Sus scrofa: one gene and its partner. The protein of the gene in region 1 purifies or fractionates together with the protein of each later gene. This does not show direct contact. Links are inferred from orthologs where the notes say so. Each region holds a gene or a part of one and is shown on either strand. Other genes may lie near its edges.

Region 1 (4,547 bases):
GTGGGCAGCCAGCCACGGAGGGGAAAATAGGCAGGCCGGCCCCGCCCGGCGGCGCCGCGCCGGGCCAAGGCCCGGCCGCAGGGAGGCGCGGATACCCTGCGCGCCCAGGGCGCCCGCTGCTCCGGGCGGCGCCGCGGAGGGCGCCGACGACCGCGCGCGGCCGCACCCTCCCTGCGAGCGGCTCTGCGCGCCCGGCTCCCGGCCTCGCGGTGGCGCCGCGCTGAACCGCCCGTCTCGCTCTTCAGGACTGTGATTATTTTCTAAAACCCTGCGCAGGGGCCCGCGTGGCCGCTCTCGGGGGCCCCGCCCCGCGCCCCTTCCCAGGGCGGTGGAGAAGTAGGGAGGCCGTGGCGCGCTCTGGAGCCGGCGAGGGAATCCCTCTCCCTCCACGTCACCCGAAAGCGAGGGAACCCGCACGCGCGTCCTCTAACGCAAATGACCATCTTTGGCAACAGGCGCCGGTGGAACAGACCAAGGGCGCAGGGCCCAGGGGGGTGGGCGGGGGTGGGGAAGGGCCGGGCTGCCTCGGGTCCCCCAAACCGCGCTCACAGCGCTCCCACCCCCTCCACCTCCTTCCTTCCTCGCGCAGGGTGTGCGGCTGGCGTCAGCGCGGCCGGGAGCCCGGGCAGGGAGGGGAGTGCTGCGCCCGCCTCCTCCCGCGCCTCTTCCTCCTCTTCCCCCTCCTCCTCCTCGGCCCTCTCCCTCCGCCTCCCCTAGCGCTCCTCCCGCAAGGTGGAGTCTTGGGTTGACGTGAGGTACAGGGGCTGGAGAATAAAGAGTGGAGTTGAACTCGTGCCATTGTAGTGACTCATCTCGGGCAGAGCGCTGGGGCTCCGAGCGAACCAGCGAGCAAGCAAGCGGCGCTCGGCGGGGACAGAGAGAGGGAGAGAGAGAGGCGCGGACGGGCGAGGCGGGCCCGTCCGGGAGCGGGCGCCGGGGAAGGGGTGCAGGTCCGGGCGCCGGAGCCGCCGCAAGGGGAGCGGGCCCGCGTCCCTCTCCGCGTCAGCTCAGCTGGAACCCCACGGGCCGCGGGGCGGGCTGCCTTCACCTAATCAAGTGTCCCTGCCGCTCGAAACTCCGGCGGCGAGTCGGCCACAGGAAGTTTATTCTCAGCTCCTTTTCTAAAAGGAGGAAATAGAAGTTTCTCCAAGCGGGCAGCCTTTCTTTTCGCCTTTTTTTTTTTTTCTTCCTTTTTTGCCCTGTCTGAAATTGGGGGCCCCCAGACCTGGCAGGCTTGACTCGCCGGGCTCCTATTCTTTTTTTAATTTCCAATTTTTGATTGAGCCGGCGGTCCCGGCTGGGCTCTGATTGCGCGCGGGGGCAGGAGGGCGCGCGCAGGGGAGGGACCGAGGGACGCGCGGACTTTTTAGAGGGAGGGACCGGGTGGACAACTGGTCCCGCGGCGCTCGTAGAGCAGGAAAGAAGTGCAGCGCTCGGCGCTCGGGGGGCACTGTTCTCGGAGTGCCGCCGCCGAGGGGGAGAAGCCCGGGAGCGACGCTTAGAGCCCCAGGCGCGGCCGGCAGGGAGCCAGCGCGCAGCTGCCGGTGCGCGGCCGCGGCGAGGGCGGGGGAAGAAAAACACCCTGTTTCCTCTCGGGCCCCCACCGCGGATCATGTACCAGGATTATCCCGGGAACTTTGACACCTCGTCCCGGGGCAGCAGCGGCTCTCCTGCGCACGCCGAGTCCTACTCCAGCGGCGGCGGCGGCCAGCAGGTAGGTGCGGGCCCCGGGTGCACCTGGCGCCGCGGGTGGACCCCCCGCCTTCCTCTCGCCAGGACTGCCTTTTTTCCCCCCCTTTCTTTTCCCTTTCTTGATTTGGCGAGAAAATTCTTGCGGCCTCCATTGTAAGTTCTAGATTTTCATCTTGTCCTCCTGACACCTCCTTTAACCTTCCCCCATCCCCCGCCAACACTTTTTTTTTTTTTTTTTTTTTTTAAACTAGAGCGGCGAGTGGGCTGGAGAGCCAACAAACCCTCGCCTTCACACTACATCCTATACAGACAAGCTCCTGGAATTGCAGGGCCTTTTCCCCAGGACCCTGTACCTCTCTCGCAGGAACCCCGTGGTTAGACCCCCCTCCAAAAAAAATCTTTGCACCCACGGGCACCTCCCGACATCCAGGGACCTTATTCCTGCGAAAAAGCCCTCTCTCCTTCGGTCTTCGTTCATTTCTGAAAGAACTTGGGGACTGGGAAAAATGGGCTCCTTCAAGTAATCCGGAGCGAGGGCGAGGGTTGTCGCTCTGGGAATCAGGTGCGAAGGTCAGGAAGGAGGAGGTCAGCCTTGATTGGCTCAGGCTGCGCCTTTCTCCCCCGCGCCCATCCATCTCCTGTTAGGGTCACAGAAGGAGCCTGCACAGCCGACCAGAAGGGGCGCCTTGGGGGTCTGGGAATATCTGGGGCCAGGACGCCTGCAGAGAGGGGACGGTGGGGGGGCGGTGGGGGCGGTGGATGAGACCTCGCTTAGGCTCCTGGGTGGTTCTGGAAGCCGGAAAACAACTTGTTTCTAAAGCAGGCGGACTGGTTTGCACCAGAGGGATTTTGCCTGAGATCTGTGTGTCTATAAATACCGGAATAAATACCAGAAAGGTGCTGCTGGGTTGGTGGTGTTCGTGGGGTGCCTGCCCTCTGCAGCCACCACTCCCCCCCACCCCCCGACCCCCACTCTTGGGAGGGAGCTGGCTTAACCAACAAGGTTGCTGGAACCTGAAGCCCGCCTCGGTCAGGATCTGCAGAGTCTCTAGGCAAGTTGGCTGTCTCGAGTTGCGCTGGTAAGATGATGATGGCTTTGGCTTCTATAAGCCAGCCAACCAGGAGGGCCTGGGGTGGACTTCTGGGGAGGAGGGACCCTGAGGGAGAATAAAATGGAAAGGGGGCTCTCTTTGGTATCTGAAGAGGGGTCTCTTATTCCAAAGTGGTTCCCCATACCTGGTGAGTCCTTAAAATGGCTTTTCTGTGTCTTCTTTTTACCTGCCCCGGTGTCCCCTTTAGCACCCCACTGTAGAGAACCTGGTTGGTGCATTGAGGGTACGGTCAGAGCACCCCTAATACTGAGCACTAAGGTGATGCATTTCAAGTCTTGTCCCAAAGTGTTTGATTTTTGTTTGCTCTCCAGCCCCATTGGTGGTTTGTATTGAATCCAGATATCATTAAGCAGCGGGTGGGAGTCATTTATACCCATTCCCTCAGTCTCCATTTCCACAGCACCCCCCCCCCCCATCTCCGTTCTCCGATGGGAAGGGAATCTTCTGATGTCTCATCTGCTCTTTTGGCTGCTGTTTCTATGGCAGTCATCACTGAAATGTTACAACGTCGCCGCCTGGCTTTGCTCAGACCCTGGGGCCTGGATGGGAAGTCCGACCGGACATCAGTGCCCCGATTGAATAATCTGTGTCACTAGGGCTTTGAGCCCAGGATGCAAGCGGAGGCAATTCCCTGTTTTGGAAGAAAATCAGACAGGAAACCAGTGCTAGGAAGAAGGAAGAGAACTCAGTCCAGCAGAGTGTAATGGGGCCTCATTACCAAAGCAAAAAGCAGCTGTTGGCTAATTCCTAGCATGCTGCAACACATGAGGATTTTGCAATTAGTAATAACTGCTGCACGGGGTTCTTGCATATATGCTTGCCCATTCGGCCCAGCAGCTTGAGTGAGGCACCTTTCAAACCGGAGGGATTGGCAAGGTAACTCAGCTTTGGATGAGTTTCTTGGCCTGTCCACTCTTGGGGGGTGGGTGGGAAGAGGGGAGGGTTTTCCCATCATCTCTCTGACTTGGAGCAGAGCTGTTCTGTGGTCCTAAGGACTGACGTGAGAGGTTTTTGTTACTTCACAAGTCTGGGCTACGACCCCACCCAGGCTCAAGGTAACTTTATTACATACCAGATAAAACCTGTAATCACTTTATTTCTCTTAGCTTCCTTTACGGGGAGAGGGAGACTTTTCCTGGCAGTTAGGGATGGGCCCTCCTCCTCCAGTGGCGTCTCAGTGGACCAAACCATGTAAGAGGGGTCTCTGGTTTTACCTTGGGCGAGTGAATATTATTTTTTCCAGCTTGCTTTGTTGGTGGGGTCTAATATTCCTGAGCAGTTTGTTGCTGTCCACCCCACACAGGGCTTTCTTCTCCTCTCTCACTTGGTAAAGTTTGATCTTAACACATGGCCAGGAGTCCCAGGGACTTGGGGGGAAGGGGGTGCAGATAACTCTTTGTTAAAAACCTCTGTTCTTGTATATGGCAGGAACTTGAAGCATGAAAAATATTTCCTGTTCCACTTATAGTTTTAATCTCAAAGGTTGGTCATGGGTGATTCTGATTTGTCACTAATAGTTGCACATACCTTCCCCTCCTGGCTTTTTCTTTTTATTGCTGTTGTTGTTTTTTCTCTCTCCTAACTTTCTTAGGAAAACACCTCCCAGATATATGCCCTGCCTGGCTGCTCGACTCTTACGGTTTCAGGCCCTGAGCATTACGCAATCCAGCCAGTTACACAAACATAGGTCATTTCATAACTTGTTTTCATCAGCTGGGCTCCCTTTTTAATGAAAAAACAAAA
Region 2 (4,556 bases), on another chromosome or scaffold:
GACATGTTTCTAGAGATGGAAGACTTTTTTTCACTGAGTCTAAAATCACAGTACCACAGTCAGAGAAACCAGCAACAAAAGAAGTAATGCTTTTTATTTTTTAACAAATGTTGCATTTGTTTTTCCAAAGAAACAACATCTGCCCCTTAACTTCAGTACCTTTATCAAGGGATAAGGGACAATTATGTGCAGGTCTGCCAATTAGTTTCAAGGAGAGAGCGGTCTTTATTAGACATTTACATGGCAAAGCTATTTGCTCCACCTAAAACTTCCTTTCAAAAAGGCTCCTCCTCATCAGACGTGGATAGGAGGCTGCTCTAACACTGACTCCCTCCTACTGCAGCCGAGGAAAAGCTCAGTCTTGACATGTACAAAACAATAACTTGAGAGAACTTTAGAGCAGCTGTGTTCAGGCAGAGCTAGGGACTTAAAGCAGCAGCTTGTGAGCTGGTTGAAAAAACAATTTTCATTTTGGTTTGGAAATGGGGAGAGGAAAGAGAAAGAAGACATACAGTAACGGTAAATATTAGCATTTAAAAGCCATGGTAAACAAAAACAAAAGTTACAACACTACAACATCACAGGATGTAATCTTTAATCCACAAATTTCAAGATGAGAACTGCTATAATTCTCTACTTTTTTGGTAGATGTTAATAAGAAAAAAAATAATGTTGCATTTAATAGTACCCAAGTCAAAGCCATCACAAACTGTAGGATGGAAGAATAAAACAAGGAACTTGGCTCTCTCCTTGAATTGGGGGGGTGGGAGGTGTGTGCATGCGCAAGCTGCTGCCAGGCAAACTGTGAAAATGTCTGTATGTCCAACAGCAATGCTCTGAATGTGAAATTCTGGAAGCCAATTAAGTAATTAATCTTAAAAAGTCAGTAACTAATTGGTTTCAAAGTGCTGCAGAGGTAACTTCCTAGCCAGGAGAACAAATAGTTGCTGAAAACCCAAGGTGAATGATACAAAGCAACATACTCTGAGATTTCTCTTCATATAACAGCTTTTTGGGTATTTCAGATGTTATTTTGCTTCCAAAAGTAAAAGGAGAAGAAAAGAAATGTAAAAGACAAATCTATGTAACAGCAAAGGCATTATTAATTAATTGGCTGTATTAGTTCATTATTAAATAATATGTAACTATCAAACAAAGGGCAAAGACTTGCCCCTTTTCTGTATAGAATTAAGAACTGGTAAGACTACTTAGTATAGCTGCCAAACTTTCCTTTAGCTTCTTTTCTTACGGACATGTTAAATTTCGCAATCATCTCCACTTACCTTATATCCTCCATGTTTAAGTACAAATTGTGTTTGATTTCCCCAACCCTTGCCCTAAGATATTATGACATATCTTTAGCTTCTGAGTCTGGACACAAAGGAAGAAGCTGAAATTTTTTCACTTTCCTGAAATATGTGTGCATTTTATTTACACCATTAAAAAATATATAAGCTAAATAAAACTGCGACCATTTAGCAACTCTTCCAGAATATCAGTGGGTAAGAAACATATTTGACAAAACAAATTTCAATTTAGGATATTTTGTTGTGCTTAGAATACCTATAAAGACCGATGTCTCTACAAGAATAACTTGCATTACTGCAAAGTTTTTAAACACAGGGCTCAAGCGAGCTTTCAGAGAAAGCTCTGCATACCCCCACAAACCTACACTTACTATGACACAACCCTCAGAGATATTAAAACACCCTCTGTTAAGGAGAAAACAAACTTTTAAAGTTAGTAAAGCAGCAACGCGGGAATCTGGGTAGGAGGTGCCCTGGGTAGTAAACACCCCAGTCGGAGAACATAACAAGCAATTGAGAGCAACATATAACTCCCTATGGGGCTCCAACTTGGCTGCTTAAGTCTCAAGCCCCCATCCCTGAGTTGAAGAGATGAAGTGCGGGAAGAGGAAGAGGGGGAGAAAGGAAATCAGAGTAGAAGTGATGAAAGTGCTCTATTTTTCTCCTTCTCTACCCCTATCCCACCTCTCTTGCAGGCTGGTCACGAGACTGGGTGCAATATCCACCAAAAGTCCTACATCTATTTCCCAGGCTTCTTCTGATACCTAGGCTAAACGCTTGTATATATCAGCCGTCTCCTAACCAAACACCTCCCTTACTTCTCTGGATTCCCCCATACCCTCTCTAAAGTGATGCCTTTTGGCCATTAACACACCACTATTAAGTCTTCCCAAACTCACTCACTTAATTTTCTCCATATCCACTTTTTTCCTGCTATCATGTCCCTAATACTCTTTTTTATAATTCAGTCGAAATGCCGTGCTCTCACTTCCAATGATTTACCTCTATCTTTCCAGCCAAACCAAGTACCATGTTTTCACCTACTCATCCCTACCTCCTGCCTATTACCCTTGCCGCTTCCAATGCCAAGCCTCTAACCCCACTCTTGGAAGAAACCCTGGGTCTTCAACCAATTTAGTACCCCACCCCTTCCTCCCATTCCACCCCATTCCAGCCTCCACTAGACTTCCATTCCCTCAGGATTCAACTCCCCTCTCATTGCCACGCCCTGCGCCCCCCGGGGCTACTTACCCCAAGTTCTCCCCACACTTCAGGCCTCTGGCCCCGCCTTCCCCCCCCAAAGGAAGGAGGCGGGAGGAAAGAGAGAAGGGGGCGGCACTCCGCAAGGTAAAGACGATCTCCTATTAGTGCTCATCGCCGCCAATCGTAGCCTCCTTCTCTTTTATTGGTCGGCCTTAGCCCACGCCCCACCCTCTTCCTCAGACAGGGCCCGGCCACCGCCTCAGCGCCCCCGTCCAACACACACTGGGAGGGGAGATCCCGGCCTGGGACACTGGGACAGGCCAGAGTTGAGGGGGAGAGTCCCGTCAGCTCATGGACTAGTTAATGTTAACAGGACTTACCCGTTGGTAGCTCCGTCGCCTCCTGCCCGCCTGCGCTTCGTCTCACAATCTACCTCCAGCTCCTTCTTCCCCCCCCTCAGCGGAGCAGATACTTTCCTCTCGTCCGGCCAGGCGCGCGCACTTCTCGCGAGATGTTGAGAGGGGGTTGGAGGAAGGGCGAGATTTGTTGGGCCTGAATTGGAAAGCGGCCGAGGGACTGGCCTCCGAAAAAAGAAGGGGCTGGACTTTGAGTGGGCAGGGCTAGGTAGGGAGGCTGAACAAGTTCTCTAGGCGGTGGTTACACGTGTTCGGCTGCCTAGTGTAAGGGAGAAAAGAAAAAGAAGGAAAGGGAATCCTTACAGGTGCCTGTAGTACTGGAGATTCAAAGGTTCTCATTCTACAGAATGAGATCATCTTAAAGGAGCGCACTTTAAAAACGAGAGGAGATTATACCTCAATAAAGCTGTTAAAAAAGGGGAAAAACTGAGACAGCTATACAAGATTCCAAACAGTTGAGTAGTTGCATTTTCTTCTTTGCACTTAGAGTAGCATAACTGTGGCCATAATCTGCTCTGTGTGTGACTGTTTATGGCAGTGGAGAACTTCTACCAAAAGTTCAACCACAGGAATTGGAGACTTTTTACAAAATGCAGGCCTTCAGAATTATCACTTCCTTGAAGAATTGAACTATGAGAAGGAGACAGCCTTCGGAAGATTTTGGGTGAAACATCAAATGCAAAGACCATTTAAAAATTTCTCATATGGTTACTAAGGTGGTAAATTTTGTTATGTGGTATTTACAACTAAAAAAAAAACCTTGATTTTTTAGTTTTATTTTTTTAAGGCTGCACCTGCAGCCTGTGGAGATTCCCAGGCTTGGGGTCTAATCAGAGCTACAGCTGCCAGCCACCACCACAGCCATAGCAACTCAGGATCCGAGCTGCGTCTGCGACCTACCTACCACAACTCATGGCTACACTGGATCCCAGACCAGTTGAGGCTGGAGATTGAACCTGCATCCTCAAGGATACTAGTCGGACTCATTTCTGCTTTGCCACAATGGGAACTCCAAGAAAAACTTTTTTTTTTTTGTCTTTTTCTAGGGCTGCACGTGCGGCTTATGAAGGTTCCCAGGCTAGGGGTCTAATCAGAGCTGTAGCCGCCTGCCTACGCCAGAGCCACGTCTGCAACCTACACCACAGCTCATAGCAACACCGGATCCTTAACCCAATGAGCAAGGTCAGGGATGGAACCCACAACCTCATGGTTCCTAGTCAGATTCATTAACCACTAAGCCACGATGGGAACTCCCCGAGAAATACTTTAAAAACATTATTGTAATTATAAGGATGGTTGACTCAAAATGTTACCTCTGGAATCTCTCTCAGGAAGCTTCCTTTTGCAGTTTTATATCAGCTTTCTAAACTTCCTGCCTAGGATCTCATCTGTCTTCACAGCCTCTGAAAGGTAGAAAGAATCCAGGTGATTTCTCCCTAGGTAACAAAAGTGAAAGAGCAGCGTACAATCACCTATGTTCTTGCGAAGTGAATTGAGAAAAGCTGAGAGGGGTCCTGGTTGCCAATCTACTCTCTCCTAAAACAATTTCTACTTAAAAGAATACAATGATAGGAGTTCCCGCTGTGGCGCAAAGGGATTGGCGGTGTTTTAGTAGAGCTTGGGATACTAA

The links.
Region 2: the proteins of FOSL2 (region 1) and ATF7 purify together in Homo sapiens (affinity purification with mass spectrometry; 3 studies listed by BioGRID and IntAct, counting the BioPlex papers as one, with this or other methods). This does not show direct contact. The link is inferred for Sus scrofa from reciprocal best matches to the Homo sapiens genes FOSL2 and ATF7.

What each region holds. Positions count from the first base shown.
Region 1 is NC_010445.4:110,839,916-110,844,462, reverse strand, and holds the start of FOSL2 (fos-related antigen 2), read left to right. Parts: upstream 1-1,746; 5' UTR 1,747-2,771; intron 2,772-2,797; exon of another isoform or gene 2,798-3,680; intron 3,681-4,547.
Region 2 is NC_010447.5:18,835,554-18,840,109, forward strand, and holds the start of ATF7 (cyclic AMP-dependent transcription factor ATF-7), read right to left. Parts: upstream 3,041-4,556; 5' UTR 2,891-3,040; intron 2,871-2,890; exon of another isoform or gene 2,559-2,870; intron 1-2,558. UniProt on the Homo sapiens protein: Stress-responsive chromatin regulator that plays a role in various biological processes including innate immunological memory, adipocyte differentiation or telomerase regulation.